Bombyx mori: one gene and its partners. The protein of the gene in region 2 purifies or fractionates together with the protein of the main gene of each other region. This does not show direct contact. Links are inferred from orthologs where the notes say so. Each region holds a gene or a part of one and is shown on either strand. Other genes may lie near its edges.

Region 1 (8,400 bases), on a different chromosome or scaffold from region 2:
TGGTTTTGGTGTATTGTTCAGTACGTAGCACGGCCAATGAAATAAGAATATGTTGTAATTATTGTGAGAAAGAACTTATATCGTAAGGTACGTTGTTGATGTCTAAGGGCTCCGGTAACCACTTAACACCAGGTTGGCTGTGAGCTCGTCCACCCATCTAAGCAATAAAAAAAAATTGTGGCAGTATCTTACAAGTGACATCTACAATTAACCAGTTTCTCGACGGATCTTCTCAGTGTGGATCGCGATTCCGATGCGGTGATAGTAGATTCAGTGAAGCAGTGCTCAGAATAAGCAATTTCCTCAGATTGAGTCCATGACCTCACCACGCATAGTTGTAATAGCTCCTTAGGAAAGGACCCTAGGCTAAGAAAAAAAATCTCAAGGAAAGATCGCTGAGTAGAACCTATCAGAGCGAAGGAATTTTTATTGCTTAGATGGGTGGACGAGCTCACAGCCCACCTGGTGTTAAGTGGTTACTGGAGTCCATAGACATCTACAACGTAAATGCGCCATCCACCTTGAGATATAATTTCTAAGGTCTCAGTATAGTTACAACGGCTGCCCCACCCTTCAAACCGAAACGCATTACTGCTTCACGGCAGAAATAGGCAGGGTGGTGGTACCTATCCGTGCGGACTCACAAGAGGTCCTACCACCAGTAAATAGGTTAATTGAATAGTATGTAATTGAACTGCATACGAGGTACGCAGATGTCAGAGTCGCAATTTCTCAGCCAAAGCTGACATCATCCATCGTCATTCACGTCATAACAATGAGTGATAAAGAGTATTAAACTCATCGAAACGTGAAATGCGTAACAGAAAAACAAATCTATTCCTGCTGTATAAATAAATAAATAAAAACAACATGCTGTGAAGTCGAAATGTCACACGGACATTTTCTTCGTTATCTTTATTTAAAAACTAGCAGCACCGTCCGTTTCGCTGGCCATTTAAAATTAACTTTATTATTTCTCATCCCCACAACTGATGTAGGGAGTCCACCACTCATAAATATTAGCCTATCCATGAAGTACATGTATTTTCTACATGGATACCAAGTTTCAAGTCAATCGGATGCATGGTTCATTATTTATAACGGATTATCGGTAAAAACCACTTTAGCGCACATTTATATACTAGTATAGATTTATATATTAGTATAGCACATTTATATATTAGTATAGATATATATAAATCGGTGTATATTCCTCATAGATTCCGTAACGGCTGATGAAATTTTCAGATCGATCTAGGCCAGTTGTGGGCGACCTTGTCAACTATAAGAGACAAATATAGATAATGCACAATTGAACATTTATTCAAAGCCTTATTTTTAACTTACGCTTTTATAGCCTTGTGTTTGAAAAATGTGTACCGGTCTCTTACGAGGAAAGATAATAAGTAATATTTCGTGTTTGAAATATCGCGGAAAAGCCGCAGGTTGCCGACCACTGGTCTAGCGGAAGTTCCTCTGAAGTTTGGCTTGTTTGATTCAGTCTGAACATAGGTCGACCAGCACAGCGGACCAGATCGGTGCATTTAAGTAAGGTAGAAATGAGGCCGTCAGCGCAAAAGTGACCTAAGCTTATCATAGTTAGTATGGAGGCAATTAGGTTTGAATTTTCATGAATTTAAATTTGAGTAAGCAAGAAAACAATCCGCGCAAAAATAATGTTTACAAAGCTATCTGTTATCTATGGACGAAACTATGGATAGGCCGGTCTTGCATAAAAATTTATTATATTTTAAATAAACTCCAATATACGTCATATATGCTTGAATGTAAAAAAAATGTGGGTTAGGCCACTTTTGCGCTGATGACCTCAAATATCAAAATACATACGTGAATTGAGTGGTAACGCAACCGGGCCTGTTTCATCAGCCCGCTTGAAGGATATCTCCCTATTTGTGCATTAATTGTCGAAAAAAACCAGTGCTATGTTATAAAGAACAATTGTGGAGAAAACATCGAAGAAAAGGGTCATATTAAATAACAATTTCGCAATACTTCAAGCTTGTAACGAGACTAAAAACACAACAATCTTTTTACACCTAAAACTGATGAAAACAAAAATTATGTTTGGAAATAAGGAAGTTATTAACGTGATTTCATGCAAGACCGCGCGAACTATTTTTTTTAATATGGCAACGACGCATTTACATTTCGCTGCACAAACCAGTACATAGTAGGTACACGATCTGTTGTTATTTCCCCGGTTATGCTGGCATAAGCCCCTATGTTACCAGAGTAGGTAGGACAAAAAAAAACCTATTTGAATTGTATCTCCAATGCTCTTTCCATATTATGTCCCACACTAAACCTTTTGGTTATTACGAAGATGAGATCAGCCAACCACCTAATTCTTAGTGAATCTTGACTAGATATTTGTATTTTTTTATTGTTTTTTGTGACAGACTTTTTTTTCCTACCTAAGCTGATAGCTTTGAGAGGCTATTTCAGCGTAACCTTAACTAGTAGGTGAGCTCGCGGGGCTCAAACCTGACGACGTTGCTAACACGAACCCTAGCAAGAGCCGTCCTTCGCAGAATCTACCACCGGATCGGAAACGCGACCCACTGAAAAAAAACCGGCGAGAAACTCAGTAGGCTGTGTCTAAGGGTTAATTTACTCGACGAGCCCTTCGTTGCAAGCGCTGGGTTCAACGAGAACGGTGACCGGTGCTTGAGGTACCTAAAAGCACCGTTAGTGGATTGGGAGGATCCGAAATTGACGTGTTTGGGGTGACGTCGACTGCTTTTCATTCTTTCCGCAGGATCGGGAATGTAGTTACCGGCGGCCACAATAAGAGGGTTCTCGTGTCGTGCCTCTTTATCGAAGTGGTGACAGACTTCTAAGTACATCGTAATAACGAATGTCGATTCAAAAAATCGAATATAGTCTCTTTAACGATTTACTGGTAGCCACTGTGTAGTCTGTTTTTCGATTGAAATCCATAACTATGTAGTTTAATTTAAGCGGTGCGTAAGCAAATGTTTGTTATGAAGTTTTTTTATTTTTATTTAACTGCCTAAACTTAACTTTAAAGGCAAAGGTATTGGGTGAACAGCCTAAGATAATAACTATCACAGGGATTTAATTTATTTCATTTGATAAACCTAAACCAGTAACGTTAAAAGATTTCCTTAATTTTTAAGGTTCATCCTTAAGTTTTTATTCCGAAACACATTTGTAAATTAAGTGATTACAATTAAGAAACTAATTTATTGAAGAAGCATATTATATTGTTCAGGTTATGGTCAAAATTAAGAATGTTAAGAGTCTCTCAGTTAAGAACAAAAGCAGTCCATCACAAACTAATAAATAGTGAATCATCTTAGTTTGTATACTCATACTCTACTTAGTACTTATACTCTTGCTCTACTTACTCACTTATACTCACTAGTATTTGACCTTTTAACGTGTTTATTATACGTAGGACGATGTTTTACTGATATTAAATAAATTATTCTTAACGTCAAGAATACATACTTATTCGTTTATTATCACGCATTCAAGTTATCCATTGTTGTAAACATTGGAAATACGAAAACTGTTAGCCTTGGAACTTCTTATCGAATCAACATGCCTACTAACAATCACCGCGAGGGCGCGCGCGAAATGCGACGTTGCCAACTTTAATCTACTACGCCTTAAATACGGACACGTATGCCGCCATTTTGTTTTATATTTAAACCTGTGTAATCCAAATTTAAAAGATTATAAGAAACACTATAAAGTTCTCAATTTGCTACTTTCAAACCTTCCTTTCCAATACGAGCACATGGTCCAATATAAATTATTCTGGGATTACGTAATCAACATCATGCCTCATCATGGTGCAATTCGTTTCGTTGTGATGACACATTTTTTGCTTGTCTAGGCATTTATAACCGTAATATAATAAAATATTTAGGAACTTCTTTAAGGCTTGCGCTGTGTATGTATTATCAATATACTGCATGATTGTAGTACAGTCGCTCTGCCCATACGAATCATATGGGTAGTCATACCTAGATACATGAAGCGATGAGTGTCGGCGCAATATGTTTGTAATACGTACTGTGAGCTGGGTGACAGCCCGGGCTGGGTGTGGGGTGCACACCCTGAGGATCCAGGGTAGCATTTATGCCGTCCTGCGACCACACACACCACATTTTTAACGCAAATATCACAGTATTGATCACGCACAGACGCCATTTTGAACCGACACTGAGCTCGGTCGCAGAGGCGACGTTGCCACGTCGCACGCTCCAAGCCGCGCTTCTATTTCAGGCCCTCCCTCCCCTCCCCCACCCCGCAGCGCCGTGACGCTCGAGCTCCAAGCAAGGCTCCACAAAACACTATCTATCTTATAATGTTATCATCATACAGTCCCGCGTATTTTTCTTATTTGAAAACATAATGTAGATCATGTGGTTTTCTGTATATGGAGAGGGAAGGGTGGTGACTGCAATGCATGTAACGTAACAATTCATGAAACGATAAGATATTAGGTATAGTGTTGAAAAGCTGATTTAATGTAGAATTTATACATAAATTGTAAAATGTCGAGCGAACGGCCGGCTTTCACCGAGGCGCGGCCGCGCACGACCGTACCGACATGTGCCATTGGCCACCGCAGAGATCGATAGACAAACAGCGACGAGGACGCCGACCTGCGCTCGACTTTCATGTTACGTGCCAACGGGATAAAGACGAGAATTCCGTAGCTATCTGTATAAACAAACTACACCACGAACACACTGACGTCCTCCACGTAGATACGCACAAACACAGGCGCTGTAAGAACGACGACGCGAGCGAATGGCCCAACCTAATAATGTATATCAATATCATCAATGTATTATGGCGCTTTTCTAGAGTCGAAATTCCTTTACGTTCGCGCATCGAGCGCTCCCTACCGAAGGACAAAGGAGGATTTCACACGGAAAACAAAGGGAAATGCCGGTTACATGATAATAACAAGAACATCTAGATATTTATTTCTGTTATAGTTAGCGCGCTTGATGTTGCCAGGTCGTCTGAAACTGGCCAGCGCGCCATTTACCATTATGAAATTGAGATTTTCTAACTGCACATAACACGTTCAAGTGATAAGAAGAATTCTTTGCAACGTTACATAAATAGAAGTTACATTGGTCTAATTATGCGTGCGGCAAAAGGTTAACGTATGGTATCTGAACAGGTGTGGGCCAATGCGTATAACTAGTCTGCAAAGGGTGCTTTGTAGGTATATTTCTATAAAAGGTGAGATATAAAGCAAAACAAAATAGATAAATGGTATAGACAATTAGCTTTGAATGGCAGACGCAATCTGACAACCAGTCACTCACCTCTTTGGATGCTCGAATTTCTCGGTTTTCTACGAATAAATCACAGGAACGTCACTTCTCGACGTAATAGCAAACGTTTTTAAGGTATCTTTAAGATTTTAAAGAATTTCAAATGCATAGAATAATTTAACATTACGTTGAGCAAACGTCCTACGTCGACAGAGACCGAATGCGAACTGTTGGTTTTTGTTGGTTTGGGTTGGCGGCTGACGCCCGGGGCTAGGACAGAGGGCCGCGGGGAGGACGCAAAACCGGAGAACGGACGATCGAGAACTCAGAAACGTAAACGCGTTATTACTAATGAAAAAAAACGTACACAAAATCAACCAATTCTGTTGTACCATTTAAATTATGTCATTGTCTGAAGAGTTCTATTGTAGGTATATAAGTTTTTGAAAAAATCATTAGTGCAGGTTGTTGCACCCACGCGGACCTGTGCAAAGCGATAGTTTTGTAAATATACGTCTACAATAATATATATTGAGTACTTATATAAACACATATTGTGTATGAATGATATATTTTATGTAGTAGGTAATCGATAGGCAAATTTTTAATTGCCATTTTTTTAAGTATATTGCCGTAGAACGATTACATACCTATACTTTATACCTACTAATATCTACAAAATGTAATAAACTATGTATAGTCTTCAAAATATTGACGCAACGTTAAGCAGCTATTCTGTATGCTTTAATGTTAGGAAATTAATATTTTTACGAAAACTGTAGATTGACACCTTTATCACCAAATATATTGTCATCGTTGATTGTTTTCTTCAATCAATGTTGAAGACAAATTAAGTTCAATAAGGAAAAATTAGAAGATAATGCAGTAAAATATGATAGTCCTTTTCCATAGGCCAACAATACCGAAAATGTTTCATTTGTAATTGATTGCTTAATAGTTTCATCGACCAATACGGACGGTCTGATTTTTTTCTACTGGCCAATAATATTAAAGATCGTGTAATTGTCAAAAAAAAGATTAATTTTAACACACGTCTGTAATTTTCATCGCATTTATCGTTAATTCGTCGCAATTTAAAGAAGAATTCAAGAACTTTTAATACAAAAATGAGATTGAATAGTTTAATTTTTGCATTTGTGATTTTATTCAGTGTTGTTTCAGCAAGAATCGACCCTAAAAACTTAAAATGTTTGGGTGTGTACTACGTGTTTTCTGTTTTTTTTAATTATTTTGTTAATATGATAATTTAATATTTATTTGATATAAATTATATAATTTTTCTAGTTTGTCGGACGACGTTTGAGGAGCTTCACCAGGTGATAAAAAGCATAGATAAATGGAAAAGAGTCGATGTGAGTAATTTTAAACTTTAAAATAAAAATATAAAAAATCTGCATCTAAAACTTTTCTTTTACATTTTTCAAGATTGATTTAATTTGTTAAACATTTAAAAATTTTTGCTTGTATGTTTTCAAATAATCTTATACAAATTTAACATGAATCTTTCCTTTAGCATCTAAAATATGAGAAAAACTTAAGCACGACAGTTAAAATTATTACGAAAAAAATAATTTAATTATAACTTGTTTCTACTATATTTCACTATAACTATATTTCAAGTAAATGTTGACAGTCACACTAAAATAGTCATAACTTTCTCCAGTACAAAGTGTGGTTTCAAAATGAAGTATAATGAATAATTATGAGCTTTATTTTTCCAAATATTCACATTGTAATCCAGAAATAATAAACTACATAGCATTTTCCTTGGATAAAGAGTTACTTGTGTCACTCTCTGTTCCATAAACAACCAGTTGGCTTAAAACACGAACCACAAGAGAATATACTGTAATATTTATTTAGAAGATATATTGAGCCTTAACTGGATCATGTCATTTCCCACATTGTCCTACATATTAATGTAGGTAATGTTATCTATGTGTTCAATTTTACTCAAAACTTCAACCGTTTTTGATTCAAGACAAGCAAACATATTTAGAATATTGACTAACACATTCGTCAAGTACATAGCAGCTGACTATACCATACTTTTGCTACTGAGGTGATTTTAATTTTAATACTGATAAAAACATATATCCAACATGCCTGTGTGGGATATGCGGTAGTAACTTATGCTGTGCCTGTTGTGTTTCCTGTTTTCTTCTTTTTGCTCTTACCTGATTAAATAGTATTGTGGCAGCATATCCTCTTTTCCAATTCAGGCATATCGTACCTCATCTTTGTACTCATACCAACCCATACCAACTGAATACTGAATACCCACATATAGAGAAAGCCCAATACCCACCTATCCAATAGAGCACTGATGTGGAAAGTGTCTGGCAAAAGGAAGAGAGGCCGTCCCAGAAAAACTTGGGTGTCGCTTGGTGGAGCAGGAGCTAACCGTCTTGGGCATGACGTGGGAGGAGCTAGAACAGACTGCCCAAGACCGATGTAAAGGGAAGGATTTGATTAGAGTTCTACACCCCAGCAGTGTAATAGGAAAAAAAGAAGAAGTGTAACTCAAAATATCAATAAACACACATGTTAAATATCACACATGCTGATATCATCATTAGGATTTTCAAAAATATCGAAATGCTCTTCATCAACACATTTAGTTTGGGGTCGATGCCTTGCAACTACATCATCCTCTAAGAAGTTATCCTCTCCATCCATCCTCTAAGGAATGTTTTTACTGTAGATAGAGTATATTGTAAAACTGCAAGGACCGGTACCACCTTAACAGTGTGCCTTAATAGAGTAAAGCATTGCTATTCAAAAAATGGCATGGGAGCCCACCTGCGGCACTAAATCACGCCTTGCACGTAAGGCACGCCTTGAGCCACCTCATCCAGCTCCTAGCTTTTTGTTCATTGCTGTGTGAAGTGTGCTAACAGATTTCTTTAACCTTATTTGTCAAAATTGTATTTAGGCCACCGTCAAGCCTTTTTGCCTTCCCAACTGGGGATTCCTTCTCACCCTGCATCTTGTAAATCAGTTAATGAGCCCTTTATCCTGAGCTTTTAGGACTGTTGATTTAATTTTTGTATATTTTAGAGAATGTCTCTCAGTTCAGTGTGTCTATTGG
Region 2 (6,481 bases):
CCGCCGGCTACAACTCCCTTTAAGCCTACTGAACCCGAACCACCAGCCGCAGCCGCTGCACCTGTCTCCGACATCCACGGTCTGGAGAATGGGTTTTTGAATGTTCCTTGCCGTGAAGACATGGTCTCTTTTTTCGAGCACTTTTGAAATTCGCAACGACTGCGACGACACTCCCCTACGACATTTAATTTCAGACTAAAAATTTAGGTTATATTAGTTATATACAATCATACTCTATGCTAACAATATGTGTTTGTGTATAGTCTATGAACTAAATTACTTTTTGGCGGGAACGCGAGGAGTGAAGTTGTGTGATTTGTTTTATTTTGTCTATTTAGTGTTTCTTCAGGTTTAAATGTGTAATAACGGTGGTTTATTAACTGTTTAATATCTGTGAAAGTGCACAAATGTGGGAAAATGAAACAAAGCTGCTGGACGTAACTTCTCGGGTTCCTCCAAAAAGTCCACTGAAAAAATCTCAGTAAATGACCACCATTTTACTGCGATTATATTTCATCCCATATCATCTCATTTCATTAAATTCATCCCAGTTGATTAATGTCTCAAATTAATCATCTTCATTTCATTTCACTCCATATTATCATTTTTCATAAAATTAAGACTATAAAGTAAAATAAGACATGACTTAAAGGTCTTAGTTACCAGGTCATAAAATCTCTTAAAAAAAAAAAAATCAATTAAAATAGGACTTTTTGGCGGGAACGCGAGGAGTGAAGTTGTGTGATTTGTTTTATTTTGTCTATTTAGTGTTTCTTCAGGTTTAAATGTGTAATAACGGTGGTTTATTAACTGTTTAATATCTGTGAAAGTGCACAAATGTGGGAAAATGAAACAAAGCTGCTGGACGTAACTTCTCGGGTCCCTCCAAAAAGTCCATTGAAAAAATCTCAGTAAATGACCACCATTTTACTACGATTGTATTTCATCCCATATCATCTCATTTCATTAAATTTCATCCCAGTTGATTAATGTCTCAAATTAATCATCTTCATTTCATTTCACTCCATATTATCATTTTTCATAAAATTAAGAATATAAAGTAAAATAAGACATGACTTAAAGGTCTTAGATACCAGGTCATAAAATCTCTTAAAAAAAATCAAATAAAATGTTTTTTTATTTTATGACTTGGTAGCCTAGACCTTTAAGTCATTATCTTATTTTAATCTTCTTATTCTAATTTATATCTTATTATAATTTATATTCTTATTTTTATGAAAACTGATAATATGGAGTGAAATGAAATGAAATGAAATGAAGATGTCAAGAATGTCTCAAATTAATTTAAATTAATATTTGAGACATATATTAAAGGGATCAACTGGGATGAAATTAAAGGAAATAAGATGAGACGGGATGAAATATAATCTCAGTAAAATGATGGTCATTCACTGAGATTTTTTCAGTGGACTTTTGGGTGAATCCCAAGAAGTTACGTCCAGTAGCTTTCCAAAATAATATATGACTTAAAGGTGTACGTTACCAGGTCATAAAATTAAAAAAATAATTGGATACATATATACATATTCACAGAAACGATTTATAAATTTTACCCTTACCAAATTAACATTACAATTCTTGAAGTAAATGTAATTATTTTATCAAAGGAACAACACAACTACAAAAATGGCCTTACGTACGTACGGCGATAAGCCGATAAGTTTTCAAATCGAAGAAGGAGGAGACTTTTATTGTGTTGGCTCAGAGGTAAGTTCCATACATTTCTTGATTAAAAATACATCGAACTACTCGAAACATAATTTTAAAGATACGTTATTAAAAATTATTTCATTCACTAACGGAGCTAGTCTTTCTTTTGTCGAAGAACATCGTTCCTAACCTCAATCTGGTCTATTATACAAACTTGCCTTTTAGAATTATTCTTATTTCGATGAGGCTTGGTTTCCATTACTGTAAAGCAGACTATAGTTTATTGTCCATCAAAGTATAAGATAAAAAATAGAACAATAGGTCTATATCACCCTTATGAAAATGGAATACAAATTTTGGAGATAAAATAACTAAGGAATTTCTGTAGAAGGCAAAACTGAGCTGTAATAATTATGTTGCCCTTTAATGACAATTCTTTAAAACTCATTTTCTTAGCAATAATCGAGTAAGTAATCCAGTAAACAGATCCATATTTAACAAAATCCCAAATACATATACATGTACAATAACATCATTAGCTAAGAAACCTAAGATTTTAGTTAAAGAGATACAAATCATGAAAGTTTACCAGTCCATTTTAACTACTGGCTTAAGATACCATACTGTACTTTTTATCTTTTTTCTGTATCTAGTTGCATAATTCAGTGTTCATGTGAAGTTTCTCACTATAATCTTCTATTCTACAGTAGAACTTTCTAAAGCGCCATTATGAATTATATTGAATAAGTAAACGACAGTGATTGCTTGCAGTGCAAATTAAAACAAGTTGTGGCACCCAATGCTGTTTCTGCTCTTATTTTTTTAGATGAGCAATGATGTATTTTCTTCAGTGTTTCTGAATTGTATAAAAAAAGGTCTAATTTCATATTTATTATATTCATTTCATTATCATTTTTCATGGCATATTAACACTGTTCTAACTACTGTAAATTGTTATGACAAAAAATTTAAATGATTAAACAATAACAGTGGTTTTAATTAAAAGCAATGCAAAATTATATTGTGGTGTCGAAAACAGCAGTTTTAACTTGAGATTTCCAGATTTTGTATTTTGATTAGTCTTATGCCCGCTTAAAAATGCAAAAAAATTAACTATTGCCTTAGGTCGGGAATTACCTGCGCTTGTTCCGTGGGTCACTCTACAAGAAGTACCCTGGCATGTGCCGGCGTACCCTCACCAATGAAGAACGTAAGCGATTAATTGACAACGGTCTTGGTCCTCATGTGCTGTCCAGTTCAGTTTCACTGTTGAAGGCGTCAGAAGTTGAAGACATTATTGAAGGGAATGATGATAAGTACGTCATTATAAACATTTTGTGAACTATTGAAAGCGGTTAAAACCGACAATTGCTGTGTTAGCATAGACAGGTGAACGAGTTCATAATCCATCTGATGATAAGTGAAGCTACCTGAAGTAGTCAGTCGAAATATTAGACCTTTAAGTTTTGGTGAGCACCTGGCACTATTGAAGTCCACGAACGACATTAACCACTTACCATCAGAAGAATTGTATGTTTGTCTTATTTTAAGGACAATAAAAAAAAAAACAAAATGTGTGCATATCTTTCTTCTTCATCGCTCCCTCATTGCTGAGGATTGTGACTCTGTTTCAGCTGTGCCAGTCTCCATCGGTTCTGGTCAGTTGCTGTGTGCATATCAAGGAAATCTTAAATACTATGAATTGTATATGAAACAGCAGTTGTCCATTAAACTATTTACAGCTATGACACAGCTTTAAATTAATTTATAGATACAAAGCAGTGTCCGTCAGCCAAGAGTTGGCGACACCCCGTGAGAGCAAAAGCAAGAAGCCACACACTCCATCATGGCTGCCAGTCATGCCAAACTCTTCTCATTTGGATGCTGTACCCCAGGCTACTCCAATCAGCAGGAGTAGGGTGCATAATAAGAAGGTAAAATGGATGTTAAAGTCAAAACTTAAAGTCCAGTTGGGCTTCAGGTTCTGACTCCTAGGTTTATCTAGTTAATCATGTTTGACATGGGGCCACACTCTAAGGTCAACACAACACATTTAATTTAGCTTCTGATTCAGGATAGATAGATAAGATAGATAGAATATCTCAAAATCAGAGACACATCGTAAGATAAATAACAGATTTTGAAATGGAACATTGGAATTAATGTAATATACTATAGTTCTAAAGTATCATTATTAAAACTAGCATAAAATGAATACTTTTCAGGTGAGAACATTCCCACTGTGTTTCGATGACACAGACATGACTGCAATGCTGGAGAATGCTTCGCAAAAGCAGGTGCTTGTACCGATTCGATTGGACATGGAGATTGAGGGTCAAAAACTCAGGGATACATTTACATGGAATAAAAATGGTATGTTTAACTGCATTTGTTACCAATTCTGGTTGTTTATTCTCAATTTTTGATTTCAGAAAGTATTTGAATAATAGAATGTGTAATTGCTGTCTACCAAATTATAAATAGATTGGCTGTATTTACTGTGAATTGTATCGACTGTCAATTGAAAATATATAATAACATTTTCTTATATCTTTAACTATAACTATTCTTTATAAAGTTCTTTAATCATGCTTAATGAAAATTGTTGGTCTGCAGTAAGTGTTGAAGATCAGGAGGACCTTGTCCAACTGTCTTGGATCACAGAACAGTTCCAATGCGCCCTGCAAATTTGGTTAAAATATTTTTAATGTTTTATCGTTTTCATTCTATATTGTTCTTTTAGCACAACCCTTACATAAATTTAGGAATACGCTCCTTAATTTTTATATCCATAATGTGTATGTTCCCACTTTTTTTTCCTGCCTAAGCTGATAGCCTTGAGAGGCTATATCAGCGTTGCCTTAACTAGTAGGTGAGCTCACGGGGCTCAAACGTGATGACGTTGTTAACACGAACGCTAGCAAGAGCCGTGTGCTTCGCAGAATCTACCACCAGATCGGAAACGCGACCCACTGAGAAGATCCGGCGAGAAACTCAGTGGGCTGTGTCTGAGGCTTTTTCTCACAAGGATTGCAGGCAGCCTATTAACAAGTTTTTGAATAAATAAAAAATTGGAGGATTGTTTTCCAGAATCAATAATAACACCAGAACAGTTTGCCGAGGTGCTGTGCGATGATTTAGAGTTGAACACGAGCACCTTCATACCTGCTGTGGCCTCCTCGATCCGGCAACAGATCGATGCCTTCCCGAGCGAGCCTCCCCCCATACTGGAGGAGCATACCGACCAGAGGGTCCTCGTCAAACTCAATATACACGTTGGAAACACTTCGTTGGTAGATCAGGTAGGTTCAAGTTACAAAGAAAACTCAAATAATTAATATAGAAGATGTAATTGACATGTGTAATAAGTAGAGGTCGGAGTAGGTAGATTGATTTAAGGTCGTTGACGTCAAACGTAGAAGATAATATGGATACGCCTCCAAAATACCGGAACTTCATATTTATTGTGATATTTGTTCCGGAATTTTGAAATTAGCTGGAATCTGTGTTTGAGGTGAAAAACGCGTTAATAATATTAATCTACGCTACCAGTTGTGGCGGGTAGCCATCATACAACGCAAGATAATTGACAGATGCCTGAATCTCGCTTACGACATTTTCAAGATAAAGCGCATATATACAAGTTCCGAACAACAACATTTGGACCGTCGGTCTACCGAGCAATATCATCTGCTCGGTGGAAGATCTTCCCTTTGTCGTATATATCCCTACACAGTCTTAGCTAATGGTGAAAGAAATCTGTATTTTATTTTATACAAAAACACCTTGGAATATATTTTGTCCCTTTCTGTTGACTTAGAAATGACGCTTGTCAGTATGAGACAAAATTTAGACAGGGCTTTTTGTTACTTTATCTCATAAATAAAGAAATTGTATCCGATGAGGCTTAAAAATGTTTTTTTTTCCATTAAAAAAAAAACCATTATGGATAAAATGACATGTCCATATTGTAATATCTTGACACAAGTATATAAAATCAATCTACCTACTCCAACCACTGGTAATGAGTGTGAATGTTTACTCACAACACAATAAATCATTGCTCACATGGAAAAGCGAATGAGAATTTGACATTTGAATATTTTTAGTAATTTTAAAATTTAAAGTTATTTTTTATTGCACAAATGGTTGGACGAGCTCATAGTTCACCTGGTGTTAAGTGGTTACTGAAGCCCATAAACATCTACAACGTAGATGTCGCCACCCACCTTGAGATATGAGTTCTAAGGCCACAGTATAGTCACAACGACTATCCCACTTTTCAAACCGAAACGCATTATTGCTTCACGGCAGAAATAGGCGGGGTGGTGGTACCTAACCGCGCGGAATCAAAAGGTTTTACCGTCACTAAATATTATACAAAAATTATTATTCAATATAATAAAGGGACTAGCGGACTCGACAGACGTCCTGCAAAATTCATTCAAGTCGATCCAGCCGTTTAGTTGTAGTATAGATAAATAACCTAGATACCGCCTGTAGCGCCATCTGCCGGGCTGATTTGTGAATCTAAACCATCCAGGGTGCCACCCAAACGCATACAAAAAAAACATTCAAATCGGTCCAGCCGTTTAGGAGGAGCTCAGTGACATACACACGCATAGAAGAAATCTATAAGTCTATACTAATATATAAATCTACAGTGGTTTTTACGGATGTTCCGTTATAACTACTGAACCATACATCCGATTGACTTGAAACTTGGTATCCATGTAGAAAATACATGTACTTAATGGATAGGCTAATATTTATATGAGTGTTGGACTCCCTACACCAGTTGGGGGCGTTA
Region 3 (7,268 bases), on a different chromosome or scaffold from region 2:
CCCCGTCAGAAACACACAACAGAAGTACAGCCCAACTAATACAAGAGAAAAGAAACCAGTCGCTCAAATTATTCGTAAATACAGAGATGAAAACGAGGATGGAAGCATTACATGGGGCTTCGAAAACGACGACGGTTCTTTTAAGGAAGAAACCATTGGAATAGACTGTATTACCCGCGGTAAATACGGTTATGTCGACCCTGATGGTCTTAAACGCGAATACAATTACGAAACTGGTATCCTATGCGACAAGAACAAGGAAGAAAAAGATCAGAAGGGTTTTATAGACTACCAAGAAAATAAGGCTGTCCTACCCAATGGTATCACAATAGATCTCTCTGCCATGGGTAAGAAAACCAAGAGACCATTCAGGTCACCCGTCAATCATTAGATTTAGGTATTGTATATTTATTTTAGGGACTATTTTTATAGTAGGTACATTTTAATTGTCATTAAATTGTGTCGACATTAACTCAATTTGTTGTTTATAAACAAGGAATCTGTTAAGGTTTATAAACCAACAAATTAGGTGCAATCAAAATAAAATTATTAAAGTGATAATTTGTTTTATTCATGGATTATTATATTCAGCAAAAAGAAATAAAGGAAATTGTTTCTGAACTTGAGTACATGCATGTTTTTTATTTAAAAAAATTGTGCTGCATGTACTACATGCTAATTAAAATGTGAGAAAAAGCTTTCATCATACATACCTGACGTCAGATGGAGGGGTGAAATGCCATTTGTTTTTAAAAAAAACTTCAGCTAATTGATTGGGGTCAACTTAATTAAAGTTCCATGATAAATGTCGCGTATTAAACGAAATCTCGCTTATATCAGATAGCCTTTCACCGCTCGATATGATAGTTGAACTTTTGTAGTGGGGAAAAAACTAAATCTTTTAAAAATGTTCACCACAGCGATGCTCTGGTTCTATATTTATGAAGGTTCTTGCGGGCGCGAGTATCGCCAACAGGTGATCAAAAAGAAGGGCAGGCCGAGGCTAGGTAATGAGAAGTAGACGTACCTAACAGCCCGTCGCTGGCTTCTTGCAGGCTGCAGAATCCAAGAAACGTGACTGGTGGCCGACGCGTATTGGCGGCGCTCGGCCTAACGGCTTGACAGCTCTCCTCTAATTTATTTGTGTTCGCTAAGCCGGTGTAACACTCGGACAATGACGAGGATGATCGCCCGTAGCAGTTCATAAGAGAAAAGTACATAGTGAAATTCCAAAAAAATAATAAGATGAAAATACGGCGGGTCCGTGCACAATGCGCGCAGTGCGGTCGGCGAGTCTTTTTTTTCTTTGTCTTTTTTTTTATAACTGGCCATGCAATAGGTTTTATGTCTACAACAAAAAAATAATTAATATATATACCTTCTAAATTTTATTAATATACCAGGTCAGCTGTGAGAATAATTGCCTATTGATAAAAAAAAATCCATAACTCAGGAAGGAAATTATAAGTGTTAAAACAGTATTTGAAGTAGACCTTTGGTTTTTTTGGACCTGATATTATAAATTTGTTTTTGTAATTACAAACACAAAGGGGAATGCCCATTTCAGGCCCAAGGTGGACAATAGATTAGAGAAAAAATACTTAGTGCATTAATTTTGTCATAAATAAATATGCATTTAATTTCTTCCAAATGAGCGCCACTGCAGTTTACATTAAATAATTTAAAAAAAGTAACTCTATTGAAAAAACAAGTTTTTGATTTTTGCGGGAAAAATATTGCCAGTTTGAAACCTTTTACGTATTAAGTAAACATTTTAAGTGCATAAAAAAAAATATAAATAAAACATTTTAAGTATTAACATTAATCAATGGATTTTAATCGATTATAAGCACATAAAATAACATCAAAGACATACCCATTAGACTTCAACTTGTAACCTTAAATACTTGAGACCTTATAACTTATATTTCAAGGTGGCGCATTTACATTGTAGATGTCTGTGGACTCCAGTAACCACTTAACACCAGGTTGGCTGTGAGCTCGTCCACCCATCTAAGCAGAAAAAAAACCCACCTTGAGATATAAGTTTGCACCTACCACTATTCACTCTGCACTACCTTTGGTTGACTGGTAGAGAATGCCTTAGGCATTAAGTCCGCCAATGTAAATTTTATATGAAGTGTAATAAATAAAAATAAATAAATAAATAAGTTCTAAAGTCTCAAGTATAGTTACAACGGCTGCCTTCAAACCAAAACGCATTACTGATTCACGGCAGAAATAGGCAGGGTGGTGGTACCTACCCGCGCGGACTCACAAGAGGTCCTACCACCAGTAATTACGCAAATTATAATTTTGCGGGTTTGATTTTTATTACACCATGTTATTCCTTCACCATGGATGTCAATCGTGAACATTTGTTAAGTATGTATTTCATTAGAAAAATTGGTACGCGCCTGAGATTCGAACACCGGTGCATCGCTCAACAAGAATGCACCGGACGTCTTATCCGTTAGGTCACGACGACTTCAAAATAATTAAAATAAAAACCTGACTGACTGACACTTCGCTTGCTGCTTGTGCTCACAACGGAAAAATGGTGCGTAAAATGGATGCGTTTTGATTTTTCCTCGATTTATTTTACTGACTTTGTTTTATGGATTTTATCCTCCCTTCAACGACGACTTTGGCTCAGGAGTTAAAGATCACAGCTACATTCGATTATGGATACCGATCAATAATGTTTCATACTACGACTAAGACATAGTGTGAATTGTGGTTTTAAACTGAACGAGACTCATAACCGTGGATATGCCCTCCTGCGCTATTTTTAGATGATTTATTAATTGTGTATGAAGATGAAGAAAACATAGATATTTAGAAAAACATGTGTTTTTTATACCCTAATAACTACAATTGGATAAAATTACATTAGGAACATCTCCCTTATCATAATTAATAAATTAAACATTAATAAAAGAAAAGTTCTTGAAGTAACTCATAATCCAACACTTATTTATATAGAAAATAAACCTCAAAACGATTTTTTTATTTTATTTTATTTTTATAATAGTGGTGTCAATTTCAATATATTTTTTAGATATCCAATATATTTAAGAAACAGTCCATTTTTATAGTAATATTTGATGTCCATCTTGGGCCCAGAACACTATGGAGAGTGGGTGTTCCCCTTTATAATAGTAATTTAATGAAATCCAACTTCACCCTTTAAATCAAGTGAAAGAACACAGTTGATACACATTCTTTTATTAAACTTAATTATCAGTACTGACGATTATTAATATATGGTTGTGGACGCCTCATTGGTGGTGGCATTCTGTTTGGGGGTGTTATTGAGATGTCTAGATAGTTCCCAATTTGAAATTTCAGTTGTGAAAGTGTCTTGTTATCATCGCCTCCTCTCTGTCCGGAACATGTAACTCCTATTTCCCTCATACGATATGTAGGGGAACGCATATCAGGATACACAATGGCAAAATCAAAGTATGTGCCTTTCCGTCTCGTCTCAGGATTAACTTCTTTTACAAGTCCTGTAAGTTCTCGCAGTGTAGCATCCATCCATGTATATATTTGTAATTCATTCTGAGGTACGTTTCCTCTAACATAGTCTCCAGGAGAATTATGTCGGCCAGTTGAACAAAACACACGGAGCAATAGAGGACAGGTCTGAAACATTTTAGGTTAAATTTATATCTCTATATAATCAGGAAAAAGCATAACAAATTTCCTCCTCTGTCAATTCAATTATTGTGTTTTATTTATAATCCTAATGAACGAGCTTTAGTGTTATCGAAAACAAATAGATTGTTACTTTATATCTCACATTTACAAGAAAAAATGTCAATTACGAAACAAAAAAGAACAGAGTGCTTTAGTAGACACAACGGATTTGAATGTTCTGTTGATTATTATGGTCAAATTAAAATCAGTTGGCGAACATTAATTTAAAGTAAATGCTGTTTATAGTAAAAAATAATCAATTATATTGTTTAACAAAGTACCTTTTCTCTGTCCACCGGTTTTTCTGTCGGTTTAATTTCTTCAACTACCATTGATTCTAATCCCGCCATTTTCATAATATTTGGAGAATTGTGGTCCTACTTAATTTTTCCAACTTAAGTAATTATTTAAATTATGCGAGTCTTTAAATACATGTACCGGTAAAATGGGGCGATTAGGGATTGAGAGGCGAATCGGGAAAAAACTGGGAAAATCTTTCGACGCTCAATATAAGTTTTATATTCGTTGCAAAATCTTCCATTTTTTGTAGTTTAATAGTAGAATGTTGAAAGTTCACAAAACAACTCTGAATATGCATGATAATAGCTGCTAACTTATAAAAAATCGCGTTTCAAATTAACTTCCTGTGGTGGTAATTATTTTAGTGCTAGAAACTTTGCTCTCTTTTATTTATTTGATAATAATAGAAAACGACTATGATTTATAAACGTTATTTAGTGTTTGAACCAGCATATATATTAAAGGTAAGTCTCAGTTGTTATTGGTTTTAATGTATTTGATTAAATAAAAATACATGTAAAAATCTGTTGTTTTGGGGATATTGGGGACGGCTTAGGTACAAATAACAACGAAAAAGGGGTCAATTGGGATGAGAATACGTGAAATGGAAACGAACTAAGTATAAATAGGTACAGGTTTGTAGGGTTGTCTATGTAGTTATAACAATATTTTTTAAATTTGTTGGTAAAAATCTGGTTTATTCGAAGCGAAATTGGGAATAAGTCTTTATTTGAAATAGATAAGCAATTTAATATAAGTAAGTCAATTTTGGAGAGACATGTAACAAGATCAATGAAATCTCAAGGTGGACAAAAATGTCTAAGTAATACATAATAAAATATTTAATATTTGTTCAGAGTGGGGGTATTCATCTGATTAATCCATGGAATAACCGACACACCTAATCTCTTAACCCAGATAGAAATATCAGCACTGTCGATTGCACCTATAATTGAGGTGATGTCTGCCATGTACTTTTGTCAGTTTTTCAATTTTTTTTATTGATGATCACTTTGTTGGTGCAACTAAATAAATAAATAAATTAAAACTATATATAAAAATAAAAGTAGTGCCAACCCTAGCAAATTTCTCATTTCGTCCCAATTAACCGCAATTTTCGGGTAAATAGGGATTACACCTATTTTTGCATTTTTTGCTTAAACTGGAATGCTAGTTCCATAATTTTAAATTAGACAACAAAGATGCCCCCAAGACTCAATCATTTTGATCCTGATATAGCATTATATACATCAACAACTACCTTAAAATTGATCATAAAGTTGGAATTTGTCCCTAATCGCCCCATTTTACGGTACCTTTAAACAATTTCTGATGATAAATGATTTTTTTTTTGAAGGGCTTTTATGACCTGGTAACTAAGACCTTTAGGTCAAGTATTATTTTAATTTTAATGATACGTAACTTTTTTAAATGAAAATGATATTATGAAATAAAATGAAGTTGATTATAATGAAACCTAAAGTGAAATGAAAACGAAATGAAATGACATGAGATGAGATGATATGGGATGAAGCATAATCTCAGTAAAATGGTGGTCATTTACTGAGACTTTTTCAGTGGACTTTTTGGAAGATCCCGAGAAGTTACGTTCAGTGGCTTTGTTTTATTTTCCCAAATTTGTGCACTTTCACAGATACTAAACAGTTAATAAACCACCGCTATTACACATTTAAATCTGAAGAAACACTAACTAGACAAAATAAAACAAATCACACAACTTCACTCCTCGCGTTCCCGCCAAAAGTCCATTATAAATGAATTGGTTGACTTAGCCATAGATAATACACATAATTTAAGGTCTTATATTATTTGTATTATCTATAGCTAAGCCATTATACCTACTCGAAGCGGACTCGAGAAGCGAACTTCTTGGGATGCATTATTGCTAGCATCGAGTTTGTTCAATCCAAAATTAAATATCAAACTTATGATAGCAAATTTTATAAACATGACCGAGAGAACAATTAATGTTATATTGAGATATAAATTTCATTACCATTATTTAAATGACATGTTTGACCTAAAGGTTGGAAGTACCAGGTCATAAAAACCAAAAAATTTAATAAAAATAAACGACATGTTGTTATAACTAGAAATTTATGACCATGAAGACTAAGGCCATATGTTCGAAGTCGTCGTGATTTAAAGGATAAGACGCCCGTCGTGGATCGAACGATGTGACTAATCGACTATCTCATTGTCAGTATTCAAATCTTGCAGAGAGGTTGCATTTTCTAATTAAATATGTACGTAATATATTATGTAAAGTTCACGAATACTTCCAACTACTCAGAAAATATTTCCATATCAGCTATTACTTTATAATGAGTATCGATGATTTTTTTCTTTTTGATACAAAAAACCATTTCGAGGAATAGGTTGCTGTTAATGAATATATTATAATATGAGCCAAAAGAAATAAAGTTGATTTATTAAAGATTGTAATCATTTGAGGTGAAACTAACTGAAACGACATGAGATGAGAGATGAAAGATTATGAACACAACCAAATGTTACTAAAAAAGGTTCAGTTTTTTTTTTCCTACTTATGCTGATAGCCTTGAGTGAGAGCCTATTTCAGCTTCGCCCTAACGTGTAGGTGAGCTCAGGGGGCTCAAATCGGAGTGTTGCTAACACTGGCCCTAGCAAGAGCAGTGTTTCGCAGAACCTACTACCGCATCGGAAGCGCGACCTACTGAGCAGATCCGACGAGAAACTCAGTGGGCTGTGTCTGTGGGTTAATTCGCTCGTCGAGCCCTTTGTCGCAGGGGACGGGTTCGACGAGGACGATGACCGATGCTTGTGGTACCATTCAGTCTACAAGATCGGGTATGTAATTTCCAGCGGCCACGACAAGAGGGTTCCCGTGTCATGCAGCCTTCTCAAAGTGGCGCAATGATGCCGACTCTAGATATTTACTGACTAAGTCGAGCTCCAGGTCATAATGGAGATCCACGTTCCTTACCATGGTGCTCCGACGGCTATCCTGCAAAACGGGATTGAATAACCTGAAGGGATTTGAAGTTGGTGCGGGCCGCGTGAGCGAACACTACACTTGCATACGTCATGGCGGGGCATATGCAAGTTTTGTAGAGAGATTCAGTAAAATGGTGGTTATATACTATGACTTTTTGGACTTGTTTCATTTTTCATACTTGTGCACTTTCACAGATACTAAGCTACCTTTTATTCTAAAAAGGATGTCATTGTCCTCATAAACTACACTGACATTGTTTCACAGCCAC

What was found. The genes of interacting proteins can lie anywhere in the genome.
Region 1: the proteins of SWI/SNF-related matrix-associated actin-dependent regulator of chromatin subfamily B member 1-A (region 2) and paired amphipathic helix protein Sin3a purify together in Homo sapiens (affinity purification with western blotting; 3 studies listed by BioGRID, with this or other methods). This does not show direct contact. The link is inferred for Bombyx mori from reciprocal best matches to the Homo sapiens genes SMARCB1 and SIN3A.
Region 3: the proteins of SWI/SNF-related matrix-associated actin-dependent regulator of chromatin subfamily B member 1-A (region 2) and histone deacetylase complex subunit SAP18 fractionate together in Homo sapiens (co-fractionation; 3 studies listed by BioGRID, with this or other methods). This does not show direct contact. The link is inferred for Bombyx mori from reciprocal best matches to the Homo sapiens genes SMARCB1 and SAP18.

What each region holds. Positions count from the first base shown.
Region 1 is NC_085108.1:989,786-998,185, reverse strand, and holds the start of paired amphipathic helix protein Sin3a, read right to left. Parts: upstream 5,513-8,400; 5' UTR 5,340-5,512; intron 4,253-5,339; exon of another isoform or gene 4,067-4,252; intron 1-4,066. Other genes in the region: protein seele, read left to right, coding at 6,416-6,503, 6,594-6,661. UniProt on the Homo sapiens protein: Acts as a transcriptional repressor. Corepressor for REST. Interacts with MXI1 to repress MYC responsive genes and antagonize MYC oncogenic activities. Also interacts with MXD1-MAX heterodimers to repress transcription by tethering SIN3A to DNA.
Region 2 is NC_085122.1:12,048,995-12,055,475, reverse strand, and holds the start of SWI/SNF-related matrix-associated actin-dependent regulator of chromatin subfamily B member 1-A, read left to right. Parts: upstream 1-1,472; 5' UTR 1,473-1,647; coding exon 1,648-1,728; intron 1,729-2,796; coding exon 2,797-2,987; intron 2,988-3,442; coding exon 3,443-3,605; intron 3,606-3,896; coding exon 3,897-4,044; intron 4,045-4,761; coding exon 4,762-4,973; intron 4,974-6,481. Other genes in the region: putative tricarboxylate transport protein, mitochondrial, read right to left, coding at 1-122.
Region 3 is NC_085129.1:7,370,596-7,377,863, forward strand, and holds histone deacetylase complex subunit SAP18, read right to left. Parts: upstream 4,307-7,268; 5' UTR 4,059-4,306; coding exon 3,984-4,058; intron 3,649-3,983; coding exon 3,244-3,648; 3' UTR 3,213-3,243; downstream 1-3,212. Other genes in the region: uncharacterized protein LOC101740121, read left to right, coding at 1-391. UniProt on the Homo sapiens protein: Component of the SIN3-repressing complex. Enhances the ability of SIN3-HDAC1-mediated transcriptional repression. When tethered to the promoter, it can direct the formation of a repressive complex to core histone proteins.